Neodiprion lecontei: one gene and its partner. The protein of the gene in region 1 interacts with the protein of each later gene in a pairwise test. Links are inferred from orthologs where the notes say so. Each region holds a gene or a part of one and is shown on either strand. Other genes may lie near its edges. The genes, in order: peroxisomal membrane protein PEX16 and peroxisomal biogenesis factor 3.

Evidence for each region.
Region 2: the proteins of peroxisomal membrane protein PEX16 (region 1) and peroxisomal biogenesis factor 3 interact in binary tests that used the Homo sapiens proteins (3 or more experiments, as listed by UniProt). The link is inferred for Neodiprion lecontei from reciprocal best matches to the Homo sapiens genes PEX16 and PEX3.

Annotation. Positions count from the first base shown.
Region 1 is NC_060265.1:3,486,241-3,490,860, reverse strand, and holds peroxisomal membrane protein PEX16, read left to right. Parts: upstream 1-1,770; 5' UTR 1,771-1,779; coding exon 1,780-1,906; intron 1,907-1,991; coding exon 1,992-2,238; intron 2,239-2,325; coding exon 2,326-2,599; intron 2,600-2,690; coding exon 2,691-2,794; intron 2,795-2,876; coding exon 2,877-3,132; 3' UTR 3,133-4,034; downstream 4,035-4,620. Other genes in the region: UDP-galactose translocator, read right to left, coding at 240-255; toll-interacting protein A, read right to left, coding at 4,052-4,162, 4,241-4,417, 4,538-4,620. UniProt on the Homo sapiens protein: Required for peroxisome membrane biogenesis. May play a role in early stages of peroxisome assembly. Can recruit other peroxisomal proteins, such as PEX3 and PMP34, to de novo peroxisomes derived from the endoplasmic reticulum (ER).
Region 2 is NC_060262.1:21,936,237-21,940,442, forward strand, and holds peroxisomal biogenesis factor 3, read right to left. Parts: upstream 2,626-4,206; 5' UTR 2,419-2,625; intron 2,337-2,418; 5' UTR 2,032-2,336; coding exon 892-2,031; 3' UTR 755-891; downstream 1-754. UniProt on the Homo sapiens protein: Involved in peroxisome biosynthesis and integrity. Assembles membrane vesicles before the matrix proteins are translocated. As a docking factor for PEX19, is necessary for the import of peroxisomal membrane proteins in the peroxisomes.

The DNA of each region.
Region 1 (4,620 bases):
TTATTGGTTAATTAGATAAGTCAACCGTGATAAGAGAACAATCTGAAACAGGATGTAATGTGGGCAGGTTCCAACTTTTATTTGATACTTTGAATGAAGAAATCTGGTACGACGACGAAGCATTTCATTGCAAGTAAAGTTAACTCAAAATTGTTGATAATAAACTAATGAAAAACGTGGGTATTATAAATATTAGAATTTAATGAATTACTATGGAGTGCAATAATTGATTTTCATACCTGATTGTTTAGGCATTTTAACGTCGAGCAGGCAAATTTCAATAACTGCAGATTAGAATGAAAATAAAATCCAACAATCTTTCATCGCACTTATCTGAAAATGAAATGGATAAATTTACAACGATCCATCATCGGGTATTAGGAAATACAGAGCGTTTAAGACAATGGGGGAAGGAATTTAATCAGACGACAATTATCACGAATAACTGTTTCGAACGTTCCAACAGTACGTCTGACATTCTTTAGAAATCCTTACAGTCAATGATCGTATCAGAGTTAACCTCAGCTCGATTAATTCCTTTTATTAATTTCTCCGCCTTCTTTTCCACTCTCAAAACCGAGAAATTCATTGGTTCAATAGCTTATCGATCACGGACAGGCGATAATTCGAGTACGTTGCAATATCAATATTTTGTCTGTGCACTTTCTCCACGTTAGCTGCGCGTATAAATCTGCTGTGCAGCTGTCAAAACGCTTGAAACGTGCATACATTGCATACGTATACATGTACAGTACCAAACGTTGAATCCGTAATAATGTGTGAAAATATAACTTATCTCGTATTTAATTATTGTCTGAGTCACGTATTTACCTTTGCTAAATATTCAGCCAAAGCTAATACGACCGCACACTGTAATATACACGTTGACACTAGGTACGGAAAGTAAACCATCTGCTGCCTGGTTCGGACAAGTTCTGACAAATTCTGACCACCCGACTCGGCGCCGGAGCTACGTCGGGACGAAAGTGATTGCACAAACGATAACCGCGATTCGAGGATTGAAAATTTGTTTACGAGCTTGCGACGATAAATGCATACCTACGCGATTTCACATGCGGAATAACAGTAGGTAAATTAATTCGAACAAAAGACTGACGGGGTCTACTTATTTCAATTTTCACGTTACGGATCGTTAGCCGGTTTTTCGAAATTTTTCAACCTGTACCTAAATGGGTGACATGTAGGTATTTGTAAAAGAATTTCGTTTCTCATTTACTTACCGTCAGATTTCCTCGCTGTCGCGTTGTGAAACGTGGCTCGATGAACAGCTTTCGAATTTAGCGTGGCGCGCATTGTGAGCATCGATGTTATACACAAGCGATTATAGGAGTTTCTAATTATGGATACATGTATGCACAACTGTTTTCGATGTTTGCTTTGACAAGGTCCGAACGATTACGCAACTAATTTCTTCGTGTCGGGAATTTGAATAGAAGTAACGATGTTCGTCGCCGTATGAATGTATTATCACGTATTCCATTGGATCGATGCAGTCGGTAGAACTACGACGACTCTTGTTGTCGACGATTTTACACACTTTTTTAAATTTTAACAGTCATTTACGCTCACAGTTTGCTGTTCAGTTTCGCGTCGACACTTCGCTGCACCTATCAAAGCAAATGAGTCACAAAAAAATGCCTCGTTATTCGAGATAGAAGCAGAACAATATCTGGATTCTGAAAGCTAACCTATAACGCAGAAACTGATGTAAATATTTCTTTTCATCGAGTCTTTGTCAAAGGAATAAATCTGTCCAAGATGCCTTCGCACAATATGAATACCGTTTTAATATACGTTGAGAAATATAAAAAATGGGTTACATCAAATCCTCAACTAGCAGGGGACATCGAAAGTACGGTCAAATGGCTGTCGTATTTCACCGCTGGTTCGTATTTATCCTAATCGACATGTTACTTGTTTCGCATATTGTTCAACCGTATTTAAATTGATTTACAAATTTTGTAACGCAGGACGGATAAACAATTCAACTTTGATGTCGGAGCTCGTGTATTCGATGTCCAACTTACTTGTACTGTTCAACGATAGGATTATAAATGCTAATACTCAGGTAGAGACTAAATTGCCAAAGTATCACTCGAAGATAAGAATTTGGTTGACTGTCTTGGAATATTCAGAAGTTCTTTTGGAAATTTCGGCGAGCAAACTGTGGGGAGAGACTGGAAAATGGCTCATCATTGTTATACTTCAGGCTTTTAAGTACATACCTTTTTTTTCGTTTATTTGAATAATTTCGATGAAGAAGTAACTCTCCGTTACAATTACATAAATTGTTTTTTACCGCAGATCGGTAATGCGGCTTTTGCTAGTTCATCGTTACAAAGAAAGAGTGACGCAAAGTCCTCCGATTCCACCAATCAAACGTGATAAAATATCCGATAAGGTCGAAACAATTGAGAAGGACGGTTTTGCCCTAAAAAGATCTAAGAAAGTCGTTCGAAAGGTCAATTCGGGTGGATGTTCTCAGTTTAGGTCATGGGCACCTATTCCTCCGTTAGGAATCGATGACCAACAAACCACCATTGATCTTACACCGAATAAAAAAATAATTCTCGCAGAGGTTTGTGCCGGCTAAAAAATTCCAATGTTACGAACTCCGGCTCATTGCAAGCATTAATTGTACCCAATTACGGCGTTGTTTACATTTTCAGACTTTGTATATTATCAAACCATTGTTGCACCTTGGATGCGTATCCGTAAGCGGACAGAAGCAATGGAAATCGTGGTTTTTATCTCTGATTATTGACCTTGCAAGGTGAGCCGATGAGGTGACATATATCTGTAAATAATTTTGACAGTCGACTAATAATTTTCACAAAACAACTCTAATTTTCCAGTTTGAAGTTGTACAGCAATGAGACAAAAGCAGTAACCCTGCGAAAGGAAGAGTTTGACGAAATCTCTCGTAGACGGGTTGCACTGCTCTTGTACATTCTTCGTTCACCATTTTATGATAATTACAGCCGCATGAAGATTTACGCGCTGCTTAAAATGCTATCGAGGAACGTTCCGCTCGCCAGAATGGTAACGGACCCAATTATTAAATATCTGCCACACTGGCAAAGCACATATTTTTATATGTGGTCATCTTGAAGTGTACTAGAAAAATATTTTGGCCAGGTAACATACTGTATTTTTGCCGATTCTAAGTCGAGCTTGTCGGTGTTGGGTGGAATACAAAAAATGTTTGTCCAACTTAAACTTAGTGGGGTCCATTTATATTCAGGTATTATTGAAATAATTGTCACCAACCTTGGGGGGCAGGGAGGAGGGGACTCGCATTCCATTATGGGGTATGGTATTCTGTGGAAAGAACTTTTTTTTTTCATTTATTATATGCTCTGATCCCACATTTAAAGCTTAAAAACGTGCAAATCTATGAAATGATTGCAATTTAAGTTATAAGTAAACGTCTATTAATATAAGTTATCGCATCAGCATGATCGACATTCCAAGTAAAGATGAGCACAGTCATGTCAGTATGGAGAATCTGATAATTCTTCGTAATAACACAATTTAAGTTGGAAACAATATTTCATATCTCAGGGAGCAATGAATCACATGCCTAGTGATAACGTTAATGTATTAACATTGGCAGATAACTATTGGAATAACGATTCACTGATCCATGTAGGATTTATAAGCTTCTGAAGTATCGAAACTTTAAGAAATTGTTATTATTCTTTAATTGATTAATTTAATCAACATTATATACAAATATTAATATTTATATTTATGCACGTAATTTTTAGTAAAATGAGTTATAAAATCGAGATGAACCCTATTTGAACTAAAGACCTATGTAGTTCAGTACAATGGTAATTACACCAAATTAAAATCTCTTCTGCAAGTTTGAAATATGAATCTTAAAACAGTTACGTATGTAACAAAGACAAGAGTAAAATTAATAACCGTTATAATAATTTATAAATATATTACAATTAAAATGGAATACAACTTCAGCGGAAAATACAGATATGGCAATTTGAATATGACAATGGTTTTTTGACATTTATTCGCACATTTGCAACAGAGAATTTATTGTCACATCCTTCTTTCCTTGATTCGCATCGTACACGGACTTAATGACCTCGGTATCAACGTTTGGGAACATCTCTGCGATCTGTAAAATACAAATCCAATACAGTTAGCGCTAAACTTTGCCAACATTCTATGACAACACTGACAAAATCCATATTACCTGTCTCAATTCAATTTCTGCGTTTGCCCTCTGACTCGGATCAACAGTTGGAACAGCAGCGACGGCAGGTGGAGTCGTATACACATTGACCGGTGCATATTGTGTCATACCACATAAATTAGTCGAAGGAACCATCATTACTGGCGTTTGACCAATGTATGGATTACCAGGAGTAGGCTGAATAAAAAATTTAAACGTCGTTCATCAATAGTAGGAAAAGAAACGCGCCAACCGTTATTGATGGATCAACGAGGTAACGCAAAGTTTTAAAAGATAAATTCAGTCCTTTCAAATTACCAAATAACTGAAAACCATGTTAATCATGCCTTCCTGATTATCCCCTTGTTTTCCACTAAGGGGATACCAGTCCTCGTGAGTCT
Region 2 (4,206 bases), on another chromosome or scaffold:
CTTTCACTCTTTGCAAACTTATCGGGTTGAATTTTTTCTGGCAACTCTGAAGACGCAGGTTTTTGACAGCCGACAAAAACTCTACATATACAGTATCTGGAACCTGTTTGATGATGAATAATATGTAATAATCTCGTTCAGTCAACGGATATAACTTTAATTATATATTCACTTATATTCGTTTCATAATGCTGATCAAATTCAATTTGCAACATGGTTACTGCACAACTTAAGTTTCGATTATTTCCGACCGGTGGGTGTTTTCGAAAATATGTAATTACAAAATACCGTATCAGTTGTTGCAATGCACGTCATTGAAGTTAGTAACGTAGAAGTAACGAAGATTTGAAACAAAAATCACTGTTTTCCCCTCTTTCAATTAGTATGACTGAAGCAGTTCGAGTTTCTAAAATATAAATGTATTTTCATTTGTTATGATTTACTAAATTTTAGAAAATTTGAAAGTAACGTAATAATATCTTTGGCTAAAAAATGTCATTACATTAATATTATAAACTTCAACCTTGTAAAAATGCACGACTCTCAAGAAATTCGTTCTTAAATGTAAAATTCATAATGCATTGTATTTATTGCTTTGCATTAATTTGATCTGTTAAGAACCTTCACAAATTTCTCTTTACCTTGATACTTCATATTTCTCTGAAATGACAATTTGACTACGTCATGTTAGGTGTGGTATTGTGTATTCACAAATGCATAGGCAGCCCTAAAATTTCATATAAAACATCCAGACTTGAGTAACAAAATTTATTCCATCAACATTCCATCGCGTTTACATTGTCTATTATGACTCCCACACCACTATTTCACTGTCACGATTGGCTGTAAATATATAGTTCCTCTATCCAAATCTTAATTAAAGAGTAATATTCAAAAGCTGAATGCCTCGTAGACGTTGGCTCCTAGAGTCTTGAGTTTATCGTTTAGAATTAACTGTTTTACCCAAAGCGAGGGGCTATCACCTGCTCTTGGAATGGCCGGCACTTGTCCATTGACTATGGGGATCAGCTTGGCCATAGGCATGGACATTTTGTCAAGATTGAGAAAGCCGTTTGTCTTACAAACGTCCATAGGCTTCTCAGTCGAATCGCTTTGAGTCGACGGGCCTGGAATAGCGACCAAAGGATTTGAACCAGGCATAGCTTGTCCAGAAAAAGACGAGTCGAAAAAATATTCAGAAATATGATCAACCATCATGACAAAACCGGTTCTGACACTTGACCTAACGAGGGATTGCACTTCTTCGCTTTCAAGCAAATCCAAAGTCTCCGATATTATTTTCGAGAGAATTTTATCCCCCGTAGACTCACAATTTTGAGGCAGAATGTAGGCGCTTAGATTTTTGATCGGATCTCTCTCAGTATCCGCTGATATAGATGATGTTATTCCCCAATATATCTGTTCCACATCCCTCAGGGTAAGCTGTTGTGCCAGTGATATGGAAGCGGTCGTCTCCTTGACTTTTTCTTTTACAAATAAACTGAGCTTAACAGCTCCTTCGCTCATGAAATACTCGCATATCGATAGGTACCTCTCCTGCATTGCCCCGTCTATTTTTGCTTGCTCATTCTGATTTTTCGAGTCCCTGAACATGTAGCCGCCCATCAAATTCAGTTGTATCCTCAATGTTGCAACCAGCATTGTACTGGAGTAAATTAATGCCGCTGATCGAGCAACAGCTAGAACCTTAAGCTCATTCCAAAGTGCTATTTTGTCGTTCGAACCATGCCTAAGCTTATTCACTATGGTTTCGGTGTTCAGGGTACTTGTGACGGTATCCCGCAAGCCGACGGCAAGAGACAGTATTGTTTGGTTGCATGTTCTCTCCGTGCTTTCAAAATGCTGTTGTCGTTTTGTTCTCTCTATGAAGATCCTTGTTTCACTCTCCTGCCACTCCCGCAGTTTTCTTTGGGTATACCTCGTTGCCACGATAATGCCACCGACCAGGATACCACTGACGACAAATTTGCGTCTATGACGATACAGAAATCCTCTCAAACGTGAAAACATGTTGATTAAGTTAAGTTCATAGGGCCATTTATCATTTTCTTGCAAACCGAGTTACATGTAAACTTATTTTAATCTATCAAAGTGTGTTTAATCTATCTGATACTGAGCCGTCAGAATTATTCCATGGCCAACTCAGGGTGCGCGCTGAGAGCAGTGCGCTGTAATCTGTTCATAATGAAATTAGTAGTGTCTATGAATCGCTCGACACAATTACGAAGACAGTTTTCAGTTCTCGATTCTAGACGGGCAGATGGCTTGTCAATGCAGGTTTCCCAGCAGATGTCAGTCAGTTCGTGGACCAGGCCCTGCAAAATCAAAATTGTTTGTAGTATCGACGGGTTTTAGGGTTACCTGACGAAAGATCTCAAACATGGTGAACGGGCTAACCTGAAATCGTTGCTTTTGCGTTTCTACTTCGATGAAATGCTGCAGCTGTGGATCTACCGCGTCTTGCGAACTTTGATCCCCATCAATACTCATGCTTCAAGCCCTGACTCCTTGTTCTTGGCCAAAATTATGCCAGTGAACTCTAACCTGTTTTGTAATCTTGAAACTAGCGAGTCACTCCTGCGCCGTTATACGTGGTTAGTCGGACACTGGCACCCTCTGGTAGCACGATTGGGGACCTCTTCCTTCGCTTGCCGAGAACACTTCTTTGCCTCTATTAGGTCTAGGATTAGATCGATGCGACATTTACAATTCATTCCACTTGAGGCCGCCACATTTTCAAATTTTTTGCAGAAAGTACACGAAAGGTATTTTTTAAATATACCGAAACAGTATCGCAACGCGAGTTACCTCAGTTCCCATAAAATCTTCATAGACCTCGTGTAACATGACGAACGTGATTGAACGTAGAAAATACTTAAATCAATTTTTTCACCCTTCTTCGTCTTTCTTTAATGACTATATCACGGAGATTTCATGCTGTTAGAGTTAGGACCGATGTACTTTCTTTTTCTTTTACGTTTCGTTACATTTTTTAATTTTCTTTTTCTCTGATCGCTATATCATTAATTTATTTCTTTCGATTCTAAACTTTATAATGATTTGTTTCTGAAAACGTCGCGTCGTAAAGAATCTAAACTAGGCAATTCAAACTGGGGAATTTGCAACACCAGCAGTTGCTAAACTTCGGCTAGTCTCTGTAAGTTTTATTCAAAAGATGTATCGTTTTTTCAGGTTTGTTTCATCAATCACGGTAAACCGTAGATACTTTACAACCTCTGTACAACTTCGTTAAAGTTTCATCGAATTACATGACGATGCGCCCTGTTCGTTGGGACTCCCAGTTAGTACTGAATCTTTTCACCCCAATATAAGATGTCACTAAATATGAGATTACTATTAAATGCACGAGTGTTTTCGGAATTAGTTTCTTCTTTAATTACGTCATACTTCGAGTCGGTATTTTTTCTCAGTAACATATATATAGATCAAAACTCGACGCATCCGGTTAGTTTTCTAATTTCGGGCTGGGCGAAACAAATTCCCAGAAAATTGGCAGCCAGAAACTGAATAATAATTTGTATTTCAGCGAAGATGTTTTACAGTTTCTGCACGTTGGTTTATCTTGACAGAAATCAAACCGGATTGTTCATAAATCACGAAAGCCTTTGCTCCTAATCAGGCGGAATATTGAGGAAATATAAAAGTTGTGTGACGAGTTTACACATTTATGGAAATCCTCACATTTCAGCACCATAATTCAATATGGTGTACATCGCACACGTACCGTATGAATATGTGATCAATAAAAAGTTGGTCAATGACCACCTTATCAATGACTCCGGTAACAGAACCCGATTTAATTCATGAATGATCCGATTCGATACCGCAGATCATAAATAAATTTGAATATCCGATTTACTCGGAATGGGGACTCACGAGCAAAGCTCGCGTAAGCAAACGCCGTTCCTCGATTAAATCGAAAACAAGGATAGACCCCGTAGAGACTCATGTTTAAGTATCACATGTCAATACATTGTCAGAATCGTATGGTACTTCAAAAAGAATAGACATTCTATGCAACCGTAAATCTATTCAATATTTTATACATATAGGTATAAAATAAGAATTATCATTGAATGCAAAAGTGCAACGCGATTTCAGTCATCAGCTTCAACATAAATCCGAGCGACCTGAACAAAGACGGTAACTGTCAACGAGGGAAGC